Arabidopsis thaliana: one gene and its partners. The protein of the gene in region 2 interacts with the protein of the main gene of each other region in a pairwise test. Each region holds a gene or a part of one and is shown on either strand. Other genes may lie near its edges.

Region 1 (8,213 bases), on a different chromosome or scaffold from region 2:
CATCCACTTGGAACCCCTAAGGAACGGGATGACAGAAGAAGTCTTAAAGGGAGAGATCCCGAGACCGGTCATACCCGAAAACTGTGGAGCTCCAGTCAAATTCATGAGAGAGATCATACCCAAGACAAGTGGACTCTTGCAGCCTTCTTCGAGGATTTCCCTCGCAATGGTGCTATACATTGATGAAGCTGGTCGAGCACGAGGGCCTGAGCTTGGACCCCATGTGTTGGATCCGGGAGATTTATCAACAATATCTGGTATCTGATTGTGGCCGCAGAACCTGGGACGAACCCATGTTTCGAAGCATGATCTAACGTCGCCGGTACCGACACGAGTCCCGGCGGATGAAGCAATGCTCCTAGCAACATAGCTGGAGTAGGTGAAGGTAACCCTAATCGCCATAAATGCAGATTTTGAAGAAAGTAAGGGTTTCTTAAGGAAGACCTAGAAAGGAATAAGGAATTGGAAGAATCGATCTGCCGGAAAGAGAAACGGAGAGCTTGTTCCGCCGGCGAGATCGAGTAATTGTTTCAGGCGGGGAAGCGAAGAAGCGAAGAAGATGGAGATCTCCCAGAGGAGAGGAGAAGGTTTTGGTCGAAAGCAGAGAGAGTCTTCTTCTTCTTGTTGTTGGTTGAGTTGAGTCATCAATTACATTTAGGGCCAAAAATGGGCCTTTAAATATACAATTTCTATTCATAATATCCCATAATTAAATACGCAAGTATCAAAAATGGCTATAACATTGACAAAAATAAATTAGAATTATCTGATAAAAAGATGGTGGAGTGGGTATTTCACAAAATTACAATTGTGAATTTTGTTGTACTGAGCAAAATTGTTTAATACATTTTTAGATGTACAATTAATAAAAGCACACGATAAATTTCATCGTTTTTTTTTCAATCTTTTGCTCGTAAGAACATAATTTTTTAAGCCGATTTGAATTTTAAAGTAAAGACATTAGCACAACCTATGTTTCTTGTCAGTTGTCACATATTAACATTTGCTAAAGATATTTTGGTGTTTATAAATCAACTATAAGAAAATAATATATAACCTAGATATATGAAATAATGAATCATGTATAGACCATTTTGATATCCCTATAATACATGGTAGACATGTAGTTATGAACTAGAGACGTAACAAGGTAAAGGCTCTGGGACCGGGCGCAGGAGTGTGTATGTGGAAAACTATAAAGAAAGTGAATGACCGCAGCACATACGTCATCTCTCTCTTAAGGTTCGCCCGAAGCTTCGTTGATATTTCTTAATTAATCAGTATTATCTTTAAATAATTAGTCGTTAACTTAGTTGGGTTGAGTTTGACCACAACCTAATTAACAAAATGGATTCTGTTTCGTTTTTTTTTCTTTTAGCCAAACACTAATCTCTCGTTGTCTTCCCAAATGCTTCTATTTAATCAAATATTTATATTGTGCTCAAGATACATCGAGGCTTCATACGGATTAGAATTTGTCTATCGGCATGTTTTGTTTTGTTTTTTCATTTTTTGGCATAGTTTTGTGGGGGCAATTTACTTGTTGAACCCTAGTTTACATGTATTCTCTTGAATTTCTCACAATTTTCTCAAATTTCGATTTCATAGAAAGTTAGAAACAAACACTCACAATTCACAAATTCCCACTGGCAAAAGATGAAAAAGCCCAAAAAATAAAATTACGTATCGCCATCAAATAGGGCCTATTGGTTTAAATGTGGTTTTATTGTATATCAGATATTAAAACAAAACAATTGTCATCAAAGCACCAGTGGTCTAGTGGTAGAATAGTACCCTGCCACGGTACAGACCCGGGTTCGATTCCCGGCTGGTGCATGAGCTGTGAAGAAATTGGCTTTAGCATTGGTTGGGTCCAATGCATTCTACTGAATATCAGTTGATATTGCCCCATTCTGAGCTCTCTCCTTTTTTTTTTGGAAGTTATTTTGCGAAATAGACCGAGCTTCTCCAAGGACGTCCACAGTCCAGAGAGTAGATGTTTCGTCTGATAACATGGTAACAATGTTCTAAACTCTCCACGTTCTTATTGTTATGCATGTTCTATTGTTCTTGCTAGCTCAGTTTGGAAAGGTTGGAACTTTTGTTGGTTCTCTCCAACAATGGGTCTTTGCTTAAAGGTTGAATCGTGTTAGATGTCTTTCAAAGGTCGAATATTTTCGTTAACAGTCTTACAGAGTCTCAAAAACTAATCTCTCAATGCTTCGTCTCTCATTTCAACTCCGACTCCAAGTTTGGGAAATTTTGTCTCATGGAGAAGTCCGGTTGGGAGAAGTTGTCTCAAAACTCTAATGGGATGACGGATGTGAGGGTGTCTTGGAGAAGAAGCTACTGAGGAACTGCCTTGGTGTTGTCGTATCAAAATCATTGATCCCAAAATCAAACTATTAACCCAATTGGAATGAACTTATTAAACATCTCCATCTCCTAGTAAAATAAAACAAAACGTAGCAAACATCATTGTATACAAAAGAAAAATGAAATTTATTAGTCTCCTTTGTTCCTTGAAGAACAAACAATGGGAATAGCAAACAACGAAACTCACGACACATAACCAACACAAATGTATACGTACGTCCTTTCTTGCACAATGGCACCTCAAAAAAAAGAAAGAATAAATAATCAAAAGTGAATCAAATGAATTGAAAAAAAAAAAAACCTATTAACAGAAAAATGAGCCTCATCATAATCTTGTCGTCAATAGGCAGAGCTACTCTCACTAGCAGAGAGAGAAGGTCCTTCAGATTTGACTAAGCTTGAGCTATTGCTACTAATCTCCAGCCCTTGCATTCGGCCGTTCTGTAGAAAGTCCGACACGCTTTGAGAATTGGACATCTCCATAGGATTGAAACTAGAATGCATCTGCATATCATGGAGGTTCATTGAGCCATGATATGGTGGAATAGCCATGAAAGTTGAGGAAGAATACTGAATCTGCTGCATTCCCATATCAAACGAATCTGAATTACCAGAGATTTCTCCTGTCTCCATCTTCATCCTTTCAACTTCTTTCCTCAACGCTTCGTTTAAAGCTGTAACATCAAAAAGCAAATATTGAAGAAATGCACCAAAATGCATACAAAGAAATTAGCTTCTTTTTTTTTTGTGCTTACCATTACGAAGCTGAGCTTGTTGTTCCATTGCTTGCAACCTAAGTTTCAGCTCTGTGTTTTCGTTTGCTAGTCCATTTGTGTCTCTCTGGATCAATCAAAACAACATTGAAATCAAGATCTGTCTATGTATGTAAAACAGAGGAAAGAACTTTCCTATTCTGTTGGGATCAAACGAGGAATCGCCGAATATGGAAACCTGGTAGAGAGTAAGCTGAGCAGAGAGAGTGGTAGCTTCGGTTTGAAGAGATTGAACTTTGCGCTCAAGTTCTTGAATGTATCGAGCTTTTCTCTCTTTGGATCGAGCTGCAGATTGTCGATTCGCTAGAATCCTGTAATCAAATCCCTAATTTCATTGCAATTCTTCAATTCTGTGGAAAGAGAAACAAATTTGAAGAAGAAGAAGAAGGACCTTTTGGCGCGTTTGGGATCGATGTTCCAAAGCTCAGAGAGTTTTTCAGGAGGCATAGCTTTCTTAGCGTCCATGATATCACCGGCATACATGGCGCATCCAGCGTCAACGGAATTGCTGTGACGGTGGCGAGGACGAGAGGAAGGAGGAGGAGGAGGATTAGCAGCGCCGGAAACGGAGTTGGAGGAGAGGGAAGGATTTTGAAAGGGATTGGGATTAGAGGTGAGGCTATCGACATCGATGAAAGAAGAGAAGAGATCGTCGTCGGAGGGAAGGTCGTCGGAGGAAGGTGGTGCGGCGGAGGAGAGGGGATCCATGAACATGAACATGGACATATCGTCGGAGCGAGATCGGCGGTGGAAGGAAGAAGATGGAATCGGATCGGCATTAGGAATTGGATCGGAGGAGGGGATAATAGTGGCGCCGGGCTTTGGGACTGGTGGAGGATCTGATTTCTCCATTTTTTTAAGAGAATCTGAGAGATGAATGCTTTGGTTGTGTGAATAATTATGATTATTATTCGCAATTGAGAACAATGTCAATGGAGATAATGATGGAGATGAAGAAGACGAAGCTCTTTCTCTCTCTCTCTCTCTCTCTCTCTCTCTATCAAATGAAATGAAATGAAGAGCGTAGGAGAGAAACTCGACTCTGTGAGGAGAGAGAAGTGACGTCACTAACTATAAAATTGCGAAATTGAGTTGATTTATTAATAATTAAAAAGAAAACTAGTTGATGAAAAGTAAAAGGCACATTGGCACGTGAACCATCGCAGCATCTTGTCTCCCTCCCTTTTTTTTTTATTTTTTTTTCCTTTTTCTTTGTATTTTATTTAATTATTCGATTTCATGATTTAAATTTGTTTAACTTTAAATCTTCTTTGTAGCATTCATTACAAGATTCTGTAGTTGCTTCAACGAAATTTATTAATTTAAGCTGTTATGGCATTACATCTCCCCACGTCTGAGTGTATATTTTTGTATCTTTGAGTCAAAATTTTAACAAGTAAAAAATAGGCAGAAAGCCTTGTATGAACTGAGAGTCTGAGAGAATGTTTTGTGGGATAATAAGTTGGTAACTTGGTATGGAACTATCTATGGATTGGGAAACAAGTAAAATTCACTTATAGTGAAAAATACTTATTGGTTGGATCTAAATCATACGGAGGCCTTAATTATCAGGCCCATACAAGAAGACAAGTATTGTTTTGTTTTAAGAAATCCTCGAGCATATAATGCGCCTGTAGTGGACAGGAGGATGTTTTGGGCCTTCTCTTAAATTGGCAATTGGGCATCACTTTGTTTACCGGTCAAAATAATTAAAAAGATGGTCGTATTGATCGCTTTAAGTAATAAGTTTTTTAGTTAAGTCTCTCTAAATTGTCTTAAACGCAAGTAGTGGACCGGCATCATTTAATAGTGATTCAAATTAAAAACCTAATGATGCTTACTTTTACCAGCTAAAGTTTCTTTTGTCTTTTTTTTTTTTGTTTTATTATTATTTATCAACATACTTGTGAATTGTGATTCTCCCTTTTTTTATATATAAATAATGAACATACTTAAGATATAGTTTCTCCCATTTATTGTCACCTAACGGGTATTTTTTAAAACCAAATTCTGTTGGAAAGTTCTTCTCTAAACATAAATAATATATAGCTCATGTCTATGCTTTTTAATAGTGCCCATTGTATTTCTTTTCTTATTTGAGTAATTTATTCCAGCTGTTTCTTTTTTTTCCCTCTCGTAATGATACGACATAGTGACATACATCTTCTGTTTCTTCTTTTTTTGTTCAAGAAAATCATAATGACTACAGGTAATTAATCACACTTCTACAAATCAGTTGATAATCAGCACCATTTTCCAATAAAAGTCGATACTTTGGAAAATTTCGTGACTTTTAGTATCGTGGGGGCCAAAATGCACATAAAGATACGATATCGATGACCAAATTGCCATATACTATATGATTCCAATATACCAATGATTGCTACTATTTGCTAATGGTATACGTTTTTAAATTTTAATTAATACATAAAAAAAAAATCAAGGTGGGATAAAAAGGTAACTTTATTGACAATATTTGGAAATTCATCGCACCTGGCAAGAGATTTACCTACTGTCATTAAAAAAGGATTAAAAAAACGACAAAAAGGTCAAAGACAGGTCAGACAAGGAATCATTAAACAAAGGAAGAAAAATAGCAAGTAGAATGGTTTTGACGGAAGAAGGTGGTGAAGTTATGGCGGCGGCGCAACGGAAACTTATGATGACGCTCTTCCGTCGGTCTCATCCATTACCTGAAATAGTCAAACTTAGAAAATGTCGTATTATCACTCTTCAATGCTCCCACCCAATACCAACTACTTTCCTCTTTCTTTGTCTTGTGTTTCTTACTTGGTCATGGCCTTTTCCTTCTAAACTCTCTCTCTCTCGAGATTTCGTTTTTTCCTTGGGTCTCCTCTGTTTCCTCCTCTCTCGATATGTTTTCGACCCATCATGTCTCTCGTCTCCTCATACCTCTGCTCTTCTTCTTCCTCTTCTGTTGCTTTTCTTCTACTTTTGCTCAAGACGACATCACCAATCCCGTTGAAGGTTTCTTTTTTGTTGTTGTTGTTGTTAAAAGGCTTTGTCTTTGGTGTTAGATCTTCAGACAATTTGTGTCTGTGACAATGGGTTTTCTTAGCTTTCGACTGATTTGGTACTGATCATTGATGTTTTTTTTGGTTTTAGTGAGGGCTTTGCGAGTGATCAAAGAAAGTTTGAACGATCCTGTTCATAGATTGAGAAATTGGAAGCATGGAGACCCGTGCAATTCGAATTGGACTGGTGTTGTCTGCTTCAACTCCACTCTTGATGATGGTTATCTTCATGTCAGCGAATTGTATTGTCTTCTTCACTCTTGCTTTTTTCTTTTATTTGGTCTTCCTTGAGATTTGTTTGAGTTAGCTTTGTTTATACTTGTAGGCAATTGTTCAGTATGAATCTCTCAGGGAACTTGTCTCCGGAGCTTGGCCGGTTGTCTCGTCTTACTATCCTGTACGTGTTTTTAACACGATATGTTGCTTGATCTTTTGTCATACTCAATGGTGAATAACTTTCTTTTTGTATTGTACAACTTCTTCTCTAATGCCAGGAGTTTCATGTGGAATAAGATCACCGGAAGTATACCAAAGGAAATTGGGAATATCAAGTCCTTAGAACTCTTGTTAGTCCAGGACTTTGTTGTTTACTTCCCTGCTTTATTTGCTTTGGGATTGGCTGCTAACTTCACTTTTCCAGGCTCCTGAATGGAAATCTGTTAAATGGAAACTTACCAGAGGAGCTAGGGTTTCTTCCAAACTTGGACAGAATACAGATTGATGAAAACCGTATATCAGGACCACTTCCCAAATCTTTTGCAAACTTAAACAAAACGAAGCACTTGTGAGTTCTTTAATCTGGTGTCGAGTTGTACTTGGCTGTTTCAATATGGTGATTCCTTCTCCCCTTGAATATGTTACATTTATTGCTTTTTTTTGGTCAATCTTATCTTTTTCCAGTCACATGAACAATAATTCTATTAGCGGGCAGATACCACCAGAGCTTGGAAGCCTACCATCCATTGTTCACATGTGAGTTGGTAGCAGTAGCAGGCTTAAATGATTTTACTTGAAAAATGCTATGTTTTTTACCTAAACTCAGTTTTCATGTCTAGAACATGCTACACACGCTTTACCTATTCAATGTTTATGAACATTTACTTTTTTTTTTCTTTTTTCTTACAGCCTTCTTGATAACAACAATTTATCAGGCTATCTTCCCCCTGAGTTATCAAACATGCCGCGTTTACTTATCCTGTAAGTTTATGTCACAGTTTCTGTTGATTTCCCTGGTCCTGTCACCATAAGGACTGGTTACCCATGTGTTTCTTCTTTTCTTTTTTTTGACCTTTTTCCTCATGTTTATTTTGGCAGACAATTAGATAACAATCACTTTGACGGGACTACGATTCCACAATCTTATGGAAACATGTCTAAACTTTTGAAGATGTAAGTGATAGTTTCATTATGTATCTGAAATCACTGATGTGTGAGGCTGGAAGGGCTGTCATCTTCTATTAATGCATTCAACAATTCAATACGAAAGTCATGCATTGGATTTGAATTAACCTGTGGGAATAGTAATCAGCCATATTTGAGCTAATTAGGATAGTGCATTCTAAATGTAGAGATACTGGTTGTCGTTTTCTATTTTTTCCTGATCTTTTTGGGCATAAGATACATGTGTATGCTATGCTAACTTATGCATATTTGTCGTATGCCCACGGGCAGGAGTCTTAGGAACTGCAGCTTGCAAGGGCCAGTGCCTGATCTTAGCAGCATACCGAACCTTGGTTATTTGTAAGTCTTATAACTTATCTAGACGCTTCCTTATATAGTCGTGCAAGCCTTAGCGAAGGCGAATTAACCTCATCTATTTCTGGTTGTCGGACATGAATTCCAGGGACCTAAGTCAAAATCAGTTAAATGGATCTATACCTGCAGGGAAGCTTTCTGATAGTATCACAACCATGTAAACTTTTAGCGCTTTTCATAATTCTGGCCTTTGATTTAATCCGGGCAATGTACTGGGATTAGTATTCTCTTTTTGGGGTTGGAAATGAAGTGCTTTTAACTTTGATATCTTCTG
Region 2 (5,670 bases):
CGTCTGTAAATCATCTCCTCGCGATGAATCTCCAGCCGTCTCCACTTCTTCTCAGCGACCGGAAAAGCAGCAGAATCCTCTGACTTCACAGAATAAACCGGATCATGATCACAAACCGGATCCTGGGTTCGTACCTTAGCCTAATAATGCTTCTTCTGTATTCAACTTTGAATGGTTTCTAATGTATTTGATTTTTTTGGGTTTAGGATTGGTAAAATTGGAATGGAGATAATGTCAATTGCATTACCTGCTGCATTAGCTTTAGCTGCTGATCCTATAACATCTCTTGTCGACACTGCCTTCGTTGGCCATATTGGTAAATACTTACTTTTTGCTTGGTTTCAACAATTTCACATTTTTCGAAAGTTCACATTTTTAACATTCATATGTGTAATGTGACAGGTTCTGCGGAATTAGCTGCAGTAGGAGTGTCAGTTTCTGTATTCAATTTGGTGTCGAAGCTCTTCAATGTTCCTTTACTAAATGTCACAACATCGTTTGTTGCGGAGGAGCAAGCAATTGCTGCTAAGGATGATAATGATTCTATAGAAACAAGTATTTTACTTTCCTTAAAGCTTATAATGAAAAATGTTTTTATTGTTTTCTTCAAAGATTGTTTCTTTACTTTGAATCTGTTGTTTATTTGTTGGTGTTAAAGGCAAGAAAGTGCTGCCTTCGGTTTCAACTTCATTAGTTCTTGCTGCTGGAGTTGGTATTGCAGAGGCCATTGCGCTATCTCTCGGGTCTGATTTCTTGATGGATGTCATGGCTATACCTTTTGTAATGTCTCTAAGCTCACGTTGAACTTCTTTTATATAAGCTGTTATCTTTGAAGTTTTGTATAGCTGATCGCTCTTCTTTCTCGGTTTGTAATTTTTTTAGGATTCACCAATGCGGATACCAGCAGAGCAGTTCCTCAGACTTCGAGCGTATGGTGCACCACCAATTGTTGTTGCATTGGCTGCGCAAGGAGCTTTTCGAGGTTTCAAGGACACAACAACGCCTCTATATGCCGTTGGCAAGTATTGCACAATCATCTATTTTTTTTGTATTTATGCATGAATGGATCTGAGGAAATAAATAGTATATGCGCATTAGCTCACTAGACCGTATATATGCATTAGCAGTTTCACATACATGTTTCTAATATGGTGAACTCTATATCAACAGTTGCGGGGAATGTACTTAATGCGGTATTGGATCCAATCCTGATATTTGTCCTTGGTTTTGGTATCTCTGGTGCTGCGGCTGCTACTGTGATTTCTGAGTATGTCCAAAAATGTGGTAATAGACTCGTTTTCTAGTAAAGCATATCTATCTTAATTTGTGGCTTCTTATGTTTCTCACTTGTCAACGTTTCTTCAGATACTTGATTGCATTTATTCTTCTATGGAAGTTGAATGAGAATGTAGTTTTGCTCTCTCCTCAAATCAAAGTGGGAAGAGCCAACCAGTACCTCAAATCAGGTAATTCCTTAAAATTTTCAAGTTTTCTTTAAACGATTCAGAAAGGCTACTATATGAAATGTATTGATTCATGCTTAGGTGGGCTTCTCATTGGTAGAACGGTGGCTTTGCTTGTGCCATTCACATTAGCTACTTCGTTAGCAGCTCAAAATGGACCCACTCAAATGGCTGGCCATCAAATCGTCTTGGAAATCTGGTTGGCTGTCTCTTTACTCACCGATGCTTTAGCCATTGCTGCACAGGTCTAATATCTTTTGCAAATCATCTTCGAAACAGACAATCTCTACCAAGATTTACTGTGATATAAGAATCCCATTAGCATGATCCAAGATTACCTTTTGGGGAGAAGATTTTCACTTATATTTTCTACCTCTATTTTCAGAGTCTTCTTGCCACCACTTACTCTCAAGGAGAATACAAACAAGCCCGGGAAGTTCTCTTCGGAGTCCTTCAAGTTCGTATTCATAATTCATTACATCCCTAGTTTATATCCTACCCTATATATTCGATGTTATAATGTACAATTGCAATCTTTTAAGTAGGTAGGTTTAGCAACTGGAACTGGTTTGGCTGCTGTATTGTTCATCACTTTCGAACCATTTTCAAGCTTATTCACAACGGATTCAGAAGTTTTAAAGATTGCTTTGTCAGGGACCTTAGTAAGATCTTATCTTTTAATCCAGAAAGAGTTTGAAAAGGGTAGTCTCAGACAATATCTAAATAATGTTGGCTGGATGCAGTTTGTGGCTGGATCTCAACCGGTGAATGCTCTAGCGTTTGTTTTGGATGGGCTCTATTATGGTGTCTCTGACTTCGGATTTGCCGCTTATTCTATGGTCCCTTTTCCTTCTTCATCAATTGGTCGTTTGATTCTCCCTTTTCTTCACCTGGAAAAAGTTGATTATTTCTCATTTTGGAACAGGTGATTGTCGGATTCATATCTTCCTTGTTCATGCTTGTGGCTGCACCAACGTTTGGCCTTGCCGGGATCTGGACTGGTTTGTTCCTCTTCATGGCGTTGCGGTTGGTTGCTGGAGCCTGGAGGTAAACAATTAATTAAAAAGACCGTTCTAGTTTCAAGTTTTCAACCCATCCGAAATTTTTCTTAAAAGGATACTGCGTCATGTTTCAGATTGGGGACAAGAACCGGTCCATGGAAAATGCTATGGTCTGCTCCAGAGAAGCCAGAATGAAGCGGATCACTGTTTTTTGCGGTATGATGCGTGACTCTTAAGTTAAGATAAATGAAAATGGAGTAAACTAACAATGTAAAAAACATAGTCTCATAGTCATAGTATATTGATGCAGCATAAATCCTAAGCTAGAATCTGAAATACTCAAAATATGAATCGAATCCACCTCCCTGGTGATAACTGGAGCTTTGAGGTTCATTATACAACAATCCGTTATCCAATTTGAATCGATCATAGCTGTAACCTTCCTCTGATTTCACTGCTGGGTTCACTATTTCATTATCAGTCATAGGATTCTGAGTCTTGTCATGGCCAAGCTCAATAGCGTCTTCATTGTAGACTACATAGTCTTTTCCACCTTCCGTTTCAATCACGCCATTACCGGCTTTGTTAGTTTCCAACCAATAGCCTCCCGAACTTTCCGCCTCCTCGTCCTTCTTCCTTCCCCCACCCAAATCTTCCGGGAAATTTAACCTGGCATAGGGTCCGTACATGACACTAGCAGCTCTGTCGTAAGCCAAAGCAGCTTCAGCTGCAGTAGCAAACGTGCCAAGCCAAAGCCGTTTACTACGACTAGAGTTTGCACCACGGTGACTCACTGGTTCACGTATCTCAGCAACCCATTTCCCCCAAACCCTTTGTCGAACACCTCTAAACCGACAAACAGGATTCTCTGGTCCACCTTTTCCTCTCATACAACCTTTCTTCGAACCTTTGGCTTGAACCCTACGAGCTCTCGCCAATCCTTCTTCCTCCCATCTCTGTAACGTCGCTTCCACTGGCTCAACCACTCTTCTTCGTCTTCTCGAGGATACAACAGAAGCAGAGGAGCTCTGTTTCGATCCGTTATCTTCCTTTTCCATTGGAAAAACACAACACGTACAAACTGTAGAAAATATTACGGAGCGCAGTACAATCACTATTAAATTTCGAACATAAAACCAAACAATAAACTATAAATTTTTGTCTGCATAGATTGTCCTAGAATTCACCAGAGCCTTCAGAAATTAAGGTGGGAACACATGTCTAGATACCGTCTAAGAGAACACGCGTGGTGCTTACGACAATTAAATGTACGGCTACAAGACACGTGGTGACTTCCCAGTTTAGGCAGATTCTGGTATGCTAGGATTTGTTTTTCAATATGTTTTGGTCATTATAGATTTCTTTGCGGCTAAGACTTTGAAAATTATCGTAAATATCGTGAAGAAATAGATATTGTAAGTCTTGGGCACCAATCCACCTTAAATTGAAATTTTACTTTTTCAGTGTTTTTTTGGCTTACGGTGCAAGCCAGCAATTTGACATCTTCCACTTATTACTTTTCTGACAAACGTGTTTCTTTTTTTCTTTGTTTCAAACTATACTATAAAAATAAATTATTATTCCATGGTTACTTTTTTGAAGACGTTTAGTCCGAGACTTTTGGTACTCTCATTGGACTCTTCCCAGCTCAAATTGCGCGCCAACTAACAAACTGTAGCTTTTGCCTTCGCAAAGAACAATTTCTAAGTCACTGGCATTGACAAATCCCAAGTTCAAGGAGATTCTAGTTTCCGAGGTCAATACAACTTAGGATATTGCTTTGCTTTTGGTTATAGAGATATTTGCGACTAAGACTTTGTACTTTTTTGTAATTTACTAATTTTCGTTGATGGAAGATGTCAAATTGGTGACTTATACCGTAAGCTAAAACCCTTAAAAAGATAAGAATGTAAGGTGGATTGTCACCCAATACTATTAATTTTAGGTAAGTAACAAATCATTTTTAAAACGAAGCTTCCTTGTTGGCTTAGGGTATACGCCACCAATTCGATATTTCATAGACATTGGGCCTTTGCCGAACTGGACTCGAAAAGAAGTAAATGAGCTTATACTGGGCCGGACTCGAGTACGAAGCCCAATACTAAAGCTGCTCATCGAATTATTTGTGCATCGCATTTGCTCCGACCCACGATTTCAAGTCAAGTCAAGTAGCGTAAATGCGTAATGTGGATATTGTTCTGCTGCTCATCCTCAATAGGAAGTAATTTCCTTTCGTTAAATCCTACGACTCTGATCCAGGTCTGTCTTATGATGGGTGCTTTTGAAAACTGGTGAAATTTGGATGGATCTTGCATGCACATGCATCCAAATTTGACTCTTTTGATTGTATACACGCAGTGCAATGTAGTCACATAACAAATCAAAAGATGGCTACAAGTTCTAATAAACAGATCCATTGCATTTTGAATTTGATCATGAAATAAATCCATATCTTCCAAAACAACACTTGTAAATTAAAAAAGGCTAAAGATTAACACAAAACGGTAGTAAAACTTCATCAAATCAAAATCATGCAAAGATATATATTTCATCTATAGCTATTGCCCATGAACAAGAACCAAAATTAGGCCAGATCCACAACATTTTCACGTTTATTGTTTTCAGATTAAAAAAACAAAATCTAAGTATCAAATTCAACAAATGAATCATATAGAAAGATTTACCCAGGCGAGGGAATGGTAGATCGGAATCGCATTTACACGCGAGCGGCGATAACAGCAGGCGCGGCTGAAGAGGCGGCACCACCGAGGAAAGAGAGGAATCCGGTAGCAGCAGGCTCTTGCTCATCAAGGAAAAGATCTTCCGGAGCTCTAAAAGCACCATGAGCACAGATCAACGCAACACCAATCATCATAGCCGAAACCAGAACAGATCCAACATCGGTGAGGAAGATCACAAAGATACTGAACAAAATCAAACACCCTAACGTCTCACGATCGGAGAATGTACGACCGAATAGAACGATCGGCTGATCCGTGGGACGGAACAAGTAGAGGAAGAGCCACGACGCGAGGAGACAGAGGAGGAAGACGAGAGAGAAAGGATGAGTGACGAGAGAGAATCCGACGATCGCTGTAGCGACGGTGAGGTAATTAACCTTGAAATACGAGTAATTCTTGCGGATACGAACAGCAGCGTCGGAGATCGACTCAGGTTTGGATAATGCGGAACGATCCGCGAGCTCA
Region 3 (7,870 bases), on a different chromosome or scaffold from region 2:
TAAGTAATTATATAGATATGCAATTAGAAAAAAAAATTTAAAGAGTAAATTAATTCATCTCTTTAAGAATTAAAAAGTCAAATACTAATTTAATTAATTAAACTTAATTAAAAACGAAATACATTATTAATTTCCAAAAAAGTAACCAATTAAAATCAACAAATTGGATTTGATATCTAAATTATCATATTAATTTTTTTATTAATTATTATAGTTCACTTCTCATCTTTATATGATTCTATTTTTGCGAAAAATAATATCATCGCTATAAAAAAATAATTAGAATTTTTTCGCATATGCCATAATTTAAATTTTTAAAAACGAATATAAACTATTCAATACATGAAACAATATTATAACGGGTCAAAAATAGATTTAAGAAAACTTTCTACTGAGTACTGGGTCATAATATGAATATTTATATTCAATTTCATATATATTGTTTTGAAAATTTATAATCTTATATACTACAATAATTAATAACATATTAGATTTTTTTATGTGTATGATGTGATTCAATTTTTAATACAAGCTGGAAAATCCTAGAATTGACGGGTTTAGATCGATATTAATACAAGATGGTATACTACAGGTGAAACTCTAAAATTAACAATCAAAATACAAGTGTATAATTTTAAACACTAAACAATATAAATAATATCAACAAAACATATACAACTCGTAGTTTATTATACATTTAAAATCAAATAAAATAATATCGTATATTTATAATCATCTTTACAATAAAAGTTTTTAGTTTAACTAAAATATAAGCTTACATGCGGTATACTGCAAGTTAAAATTATAAATAAGCAAATTACCATCACGATGTTTGTACCTTCTCACATACACACCTATCAAAAACTTAAAACCTTTCAAGACCTCTTGGTATATTCAAATTAGGATTTCTTCATTCATGGAATCATTCTTCCAAGGGTTTTAGGATGTCCCATGAAATGATTTTGGCAGAAGAGGATGTAAAACTTTTCGAATAAAACGTAGACAGCAAAACATATGTTTTTTTGGGAGTTTTTAGATAATTAAATCAGAGAATGGGGCTGGGCATATGAGTAACCTATTCAAGTTCGGGTAGAACCCGTTCGGGTAGAACCCGTTCGGGTTTGGGATTAATGGGTATATGATTTACTACCCAATAGAATAATTCTAAATATTTGGTTCTGGTTCGGGTCGGGTCCATTTGGGTTTGCGTCAGTTTGGATAAAAAGTTTCAGGCCCTAAAAATACCCAAAAAAATTGAAACGGGTATTTTGTATGTAGATAGTGGGTCTCCAAACAAAAAAAACTTTTAGATTTGTTAAGTTTTAATAAATTTAATTATATTTGAATATATTTTACTAAATTTTGACAAACATAACACATAATTTTTGAATAGTTTAGTTGTTTTGGATATTTAGGTCCAAAATTAATTGACATATTTAGATTTATAATTATAATTTTAGATAATTAGATTATATTACGATTAAATATAATTAATATTTTGGATATTAAATTAATGTTTGGGTTTTTGAATACCCTCTTTGGATAAAGGGTAATTTCTGGACCAATCGGATATCCACGGGTTTACTAAAACTCTACCTAATAAGGAAATTTCCTAAAATTCTAACCCGCTCTAACCCGGTTTTTTGGTTCGGATAATGGATTGGTTATCGGGTCTGTTTTTTCGTGAGCCCTATCAAAGATAATCTAATATAGGGCCCAATTAGGTTCACAAATATAACCAAAACATTATACAAAAACTAATTTTAAGTTAGGCCAAAAATTAGATCTTTTAATACAAAGGAAACATGTTTCTTACTAGAACAACTTGTATACAAATTTTACACATTTACTTAAAATTATATATGTTGTATTTATTATAAAAATAATATTTTTAAACAAATTCAATCCAATGCAGCATTATATCCAAATAGTAAAAACATTGAAAAATATTATGACAACACTTTTATATTATACTATTTCTTATGTAATTCAAATAAAGTATACAATTTAGTTTATACACAATATTAATGTCCGTGCTATACAGCACGGGTTATGATCTAGTAATGATGTAATACACAACCTTATGTGGGAAACCAACAACAAGTAAACTATATATCAATTCAAATGACAGATTCACTGCTACACCACAGTTAAAAACAATCAATCATTTCTCATCGAAATAAATCTGCCATCAAATAATTCCAATGAGTTTTTTTTTTTTTGGATAAAATTCCAAAGAGGTTACTAGTGTGCATAACTCCACGTGGTAAGTAAACCCATAGTGGATGAATGTTATGTCTGCAATTGATAATATGTCAATTTTGGGTTAATTAGTTTTTAGTAATTTTTTACCAATAAAATTATTCCACTTTTAGAAAATAATCACTGCAGATTTGTAACTTTCGTTCACTTTGAAAACTTTTATTGAATTGAATAAATTTAGCTAATCATGTTAACTATTAGATTATAATAAGGCCCAAAAACACTTAGATGAACCCGGTTAGTGGTTAATACTTTTACTATATGATACTTAATTACTTACCGATAGCATTGACAGATTAAAAAATACACAAAAGCTTTGTCAAACAAAGAGATTTGAAAGACGAATCAAATCTCTCTACATACAGGGAAAATTATGAATAGCTACATGTCACCATCTGTTTAAAGTAAGATCCAATGTTCTCATCTGTATCTTTTGACTATGATTGATGACTATGTGACCTATATCATATAAATACAACGTGGTAAATTGTTATACTCATTAAGCTACCATAGTCCATAATACACTTTAATTTCCCAATTCACGATTTCACATTACTCACTAATCTAACATTTTATGATCAATCTATTGAGTATTGAGGATTGATGAAACAAAGAACGAAGGTATACTTAAATGGAGATGTCATATAACTCAGAAAGAACTTCACATATACATTTATTAAAGGAAAATTAGTTTTCTTATGAAAATAATTAGCCATTAATTAGAAACTGAAAACTCTTAATTAGCTTTTTCCCATTTTTGTGTCGGCCATATGTAACGTTGGACCCATCAACTAGGTCACAATTGGCATACGACAAATATACATAACTTTAAACCATTAGATCTTTTCTCTTTCATTACAAGCTAAAGTAATTCAAATTTAGCTAAATAAATTTAAACTAAAACTTTGGAAATGTGGTTTAGATTGTTATCAAAAGCTTAAGTGGGTTTGATCTTGCCGATGTGGCTTCCAAAAGAAAAGTATTAATTGGTTGAAGAAAGTGACTTTTGTCATGCAACCTAGTTGTATGTCATGATGTGAAATTAAGTGGGAAACCAAAATTCATATTGACAAATCCACTAAACTCTTTAGATGATAAAGTAGAAGAGCGTGTGGAAGTTTCAAATATCATTTCCTTTAAGATTACACAACAAGAGAAAGGTTGATCCATCATAAAGACGAAATATTCTTTAAGTCATATACATGGTCTACAATTTCTCACTAAGATACAAAGTAAAATCGATAAATATAATAATGAACGTACGAGTGGTTTCCAAGTTGTTCTAACCAGGTGCTTTGTCAAGATCATCGATCTATATTCTTACCCGAAATACTTACTTAACTATTATTACAAAGTTCGAATAACCAGTTCTTTTACTTTGTGATTAGTTTGAGCTTTGGTTTGACTCAATAGAAGACAAAAGAAAGAATAGATGAAGGAGAGGACCACACGAGAAGCCAAAGGAGACAGAAATGGTCACTTACCTCGTGGAGTTATACAAAAGTAGACATAAACAGACCTGAACAAATTTGGATGGTCCATGAACAGTACTCTTCCTTTTCAATTTTTATTGTCATCTTTCTCTTCTGTCATTTCATCATGATGTACTTACTATTTTGAGAAACTGCTTCGTTTTCCATTGTCTTTTCGATCCCTTAACTTCTTTTAGAAAATGTTCATACTTAAAATATTAAAGGATTCCTTAACATGCACTACAAAAAAAAAATTATTATGGATTGTGGATTACCAATGGTATAGTACTCATTTGGTTTACTTAGATATTTGGTCATTCATAAACTGAAAATCTAGAAACCCAAATAAATCTGAACCGGAATCAAAGCGAAATTTAAATTCTACACACTTAATGTATTTGTTGGACTATTGAAGGAGGAAGCAGCCAAAAAGGGTAAGAGTCATATATATAGATAGAGGTATTTAGATGGTGGAGTTCCAATCAACTAGCTTTAAAGTGTTTTGTGAGAAGGGTGTGACAGCAAACCAAACCTACCTATCGCTCTCATCATAGTACTTTGGTCCACTTATTACAAAACCCTAAGAAAATGTTCTAGTGTAGGGTCTTTGTTTCCTTTGTCTATTCCTTTCTAATACCATCTACTTCTGCTCCCATTCACTGATATAAACCTCTTCTCATAGCTATTATTGATAGAAAGAGACAGAGAAAGAGAAAGAAAAAAATCATCTCCTGAAAAAATCTATCCCTTTTTAGCTCTCATGGACGCTTCAATAGTTTCCTCATCCACTGCTTTTCCATATCAAGATTCTCTAAACCAGAGCATCGAAGACGAAGAAAGAGACGTTCATAATTCTAGTCACGAACTCAATCTCATCGACTGCATAGACGACACAACGAGTATCGTTAACGAATCTACAACATCCACAGAACAAAAGCTTTTCTCATGCAACTATTGTCAAAGAACTTTCTATAGCTCACAAGCACTTGGTGGTCACCAAAACGCACACAAGAGAGAGAGAACGTTGGCGAAGAGAGGACAACGTATGGCAGCGTCAGCCTCAGCTTTTGGACATCCTTACGGTTTCTCTCCACTTCCTTTCCACGGACAGTACAACAACCATAGGTCTTTAGGGATCCAAGCGCATTCGATAAGCCACAAGCTAAGTTCTTATAACGGGTTTGGTGGTCACTATGGTCAGATCAACTGGTCAAGACTTCCATTTGATCAACAACCAGCCATAGGTAAATTTCCCTCAATGGATAATTTTCATCATCATCATCATCAGATGATGATGATGGCTCCTTCAGTAAATTCACGGTCCAATAACATCGATAGCCCAAGCAACACAGGACGGGTTCTAGAAGGGTCACCGACTCTTGAACAATGGCACGGAGACAAAGGATTGTTGTTAAGTACAAGTCATCATGAAGAGCAGCAGAAACTTGACTTGTCCCTCAAGCTTTGAGATTCTTTTTCTTGATTCTTGAATTTAGTGTCTTTTTACTGTTTTTTCATGTGATTGTTAGTACTATTTTGTGTATATTTTTTTCTAGTAAAGATAATCTAATGTACATCTTTTTCACATATCTACTTTAGTCTGAGATTTGTAAACTATTAACTATACATTAATGGATTTCAAGTAGACATCCAACAACCGTATAAAGTATAGAGTAAAGGAAAAAAGAGAAGAAAAGTGAATATTGAGATCTGTGGGAAGATTTGATTTCAGAGTCACAAGAAAAAGGAATTAATATTATAATTCAAAGTTAGGTTACCTAAAAGTTAGAACAATCATTCTATTTGTTTAAAAGTTGCTAATAAGACATTTAAACAGAACAAAACAGATAGAAATAAACTATGAAGACAGTTGCTGTGTAGGATGATTGTGACACTAAAAGCAAAAGAGTACTAGAAGAAAAATTAAACACAATATCAAATACAATTCTTTGGTAGTATATACCAAAATACATGTAACGTTAAATAAACTAATAAAGCATCCAATGGGGTTCTCTTTGTTAGAGATTATTAGAAGGGCATCACATTGCTCCATATGTAAGAAAACATTAAAAGACAAAACTTGTCATAGATGTTGCTATCATCACTTCACGCGTGTTTTCGACAAATGGTCGAAACAGTATTCACCAAATAACCAAGAACTTCTCTCGACTAGCTAATCGACAAACCAATCAGATCAAGAACAAGCCAAGATCGTAAGTAGAAACCGAAGCAAACTATAAATGAACACTCACTATGATCTTTGAGAGTTACAAGAGAATTGAATAAAAAAAAAAATCATCATCATCTATCGAGCTCAATCTTGGCTCTTGAAACAGAGAAGGTAATTGTTTTAATAAAGTACTCCCAAAAATGAGAACACACACACTCTCCCTTAACAAGCTGCTTAACCACGATATTGAGCTTGTTTAGCTCTAGAATTAACCCTAAACCGGTTTAAACTTAAACATATCTTACATATTTGAATTAAACAAGGGTCTGTGATTGTCATATCTTTCTTTTTTTTTCATCAGTAACCATGATTTATTCGAGGAAAGAAATATTTGTTTGTATCCATCAAGAAGAAAAAGTGTCAGATAGTGAACCAAAAGTGACACAGTTCCATAAATAAATCAAAGAAAAACAAAGTTAGACAAGCACACATGGTACCATGCAGACCATGCATATATAATGTAACCAACCTGATGAGCCCTTCAATTTATCTTCATCAGTTTGGCCCCAAAACATGTCCTACTTACACTTGCCTGAAGACATGACTTATATATATATAAGTTAAGCCTCACCAAATATGAAATAGGATTTTATTATTGGTTACATATATAGAGCAAAGCGTCTCTAATCTTGGGCCACAAGCCCCATAGCTGAAAATGACTAAGCCGAAAACGACATTCTCCGACAGTTTTGAAGGTCCAGTGAAGGATGGTCCAATGGATTCTTAAATTACTAAATTTCTAATTTTTCGGAGGTATGAATTTGCAGATTTTTGGAGTTGCCGGTAAAATCACGTAACGCAGCTCAATCGTTCTTTGTTAGTGGGATATGACCGTTATAGACCCTTCATTTACATATCAAAGTAAGATATTATTTTTTCGGATGATTTATTATATTGAATGGAGAGAGTTTTTTGCTCATTATAAATTAAGATGTTATGTTACATGTTTTGACTAACTTTAAACGCGTAAATAATTGTTTATGTTAGTGTTGTTGTTGTATCACCACCACTTGAATTTAATTGAACTCGTATATTTCATTTCATTGTTAAAAAAGGTATCAGTTAATAATATTTTGCATCTAATATTTATATATGTTGCCGGTTAATTTTAGTCCTTTGTATAGTTGTGTGTGTACGAAGATGCCTGTCGTCGAGGAGGACATTATATGTTCGTTGGTTCAATAATAGCTTTGACAAAAACATCCGATTTTGGGAAGTAAACAGCTAAACACCCACAATGTCCACACCACGATTAATTACATATATATATGCTAAAAAAGAAATAAAATTATCTTTTCAAAAATCTCTAATGCTCGAATCATAATGAAAACAATGTACATAGTCGAAGAAACAACAAAGAAATAACGAAGAGAATGTCGGTTTTGAATTAGGTCGTCCACAACTCAATATGTTATATGTGATCTTAGAAAAGGAGCGAGATACTGAAGATAGACTTCTCCGGTAAACATTTTTTTTTAATGTAATGTTAAATTATATTATAAAAAAAAATTGGTACTCTGGTGAACATTGAAGTTCTTTTCAGCAGGATAATCAAAGGAAAAGAGGTTTGAAGAAGAAAAAAAATTGGTACTCTAGAAAAGTGTGATGACCAAGACCTACTCTATATCAATATATGGATCCCTTTCATTGTGCAAGGTGGAAAAATTATGGACTAAGAGAGTTTTTGGAGACTCTATTTGGAAGAAAATATAGTTAATCATTTAGTATTCAAGAAAGATTAAGAACACAAGTATAAAATAATAACTCTCTTTTATTATCTTTAGAAACTCTCTCAAAACCTAAAGTCTCAATCTCTCTCAAATCTCATAAGTTGTATCACAACATTGATACCTCCTTATATAACAAAGCTTTAACCTTACCCTAATGATTAGATAATTCTTAATAT

What was found.
Region 1: the proteins of DREB19 (region 2) and bZIP52 interact in a two-hybrid assay, tested with the Arabidopsis thaliana proteins (one large-scale study listed by BioGRID).
Region 3: the proteins of DREB19 (region 2) and ZFP3 interact in a two-hybrid assay, tested with the Arabidopsis thaliana proteins (one large-scale study listed by BioGRID).

What each region holds. Positions count from the first base shown.
Region 1 is NC_003070.9:2,101,021-2,109,233, reverse strand, and holds bZIP52 (basic leucine-zipper 52), read right to left. Parts: upstream 4,187-8,213; 5' UTR 4,002-4,186; coding exon 3,541-4,001; intron 3,461-3,540; coding exon 3,328-3,460; coding exon of another isoform or gene 3,226-3,327; intron 3,217-3,225; coding exon 3,132-3,216; intron 3,051-3,131; coding exon 2,716-3,050; 3' UTR 2,485-2,715; downstream 1-2,484. Other genes in the region: Plsp2A (Peptidase S24/S26A/S26B/S26C family protein), read right to left, coding at 1-402; AT1G06840 (Leucine-rich repeat protein kinase family protein), read left to right, coding at 6,026-6,137, 6,276-6,426, 6,510-6,581, 6,679-6,750, 6,825-6,968, 7,085-7,156, 7,310-7,381, 7,499-7,573 and 2 more.
Region 2 is NC_003071.7:16,064,660-16,070,329, forward strand, and holds DREB19 (Integrase-type DNA-binding superfamily protein), read right to left. Parts: upstream 3,957-5,670; 5' UTR 3,733-3,956; coding exon of another isoform or gene 3,682-3,732; intron 3,633-3,681; 5' UTR 3,523-3,632; coding exon 2,788-3,522; 3' UTR 2,737-2,787; downstream 1-2,736. Other genes in the region: AT2G38330 (MATE efflux family protein), read left to right, coding at 1-126, 207-316, 403-555, 659-780, 883-1,018, 1,171-1,267, 1,366-1,466, 1,545-1,708 and 5 more; AT2G38350 (uncharacterized protein), read left to right, coding at 3,682-3,732, 4,410-4,649; PRA1.B4 (prenylated RAB acceptor 1.B4), read right to left, coding at 5,181-5,670. UniProt on the Arabidopsis thaliana protein: Transcriptional activator that binds specifically to the DNA sequence 5'-[AG]CCGAC-3'. Binding to the C-repeat/DRE element mediates abscisic acid-inducible transcription. Involved in the regulation of plant development and tolerance to abiotic stresses.
Region 3 is NC_003076.8:8,683,030-8,690,899, forward strand, and holds ZFP3 (zinc finger protein 3), read left to right. Parts: upstream 1-4,158; 5' UTR 4,159-4,494; coding exon 4,495-5,202; 3' UTR 5,203-5,386; downstream 5,387-7,870. UniProt on the Arabidopsis thaliana protein: Acts as a negative regulator of abscisic acid (ABA) signaling during germination and early seedling development. Involved in the regulation of vegetative development and fertility. Modulates red light signaling in seedling photomorphogenesis.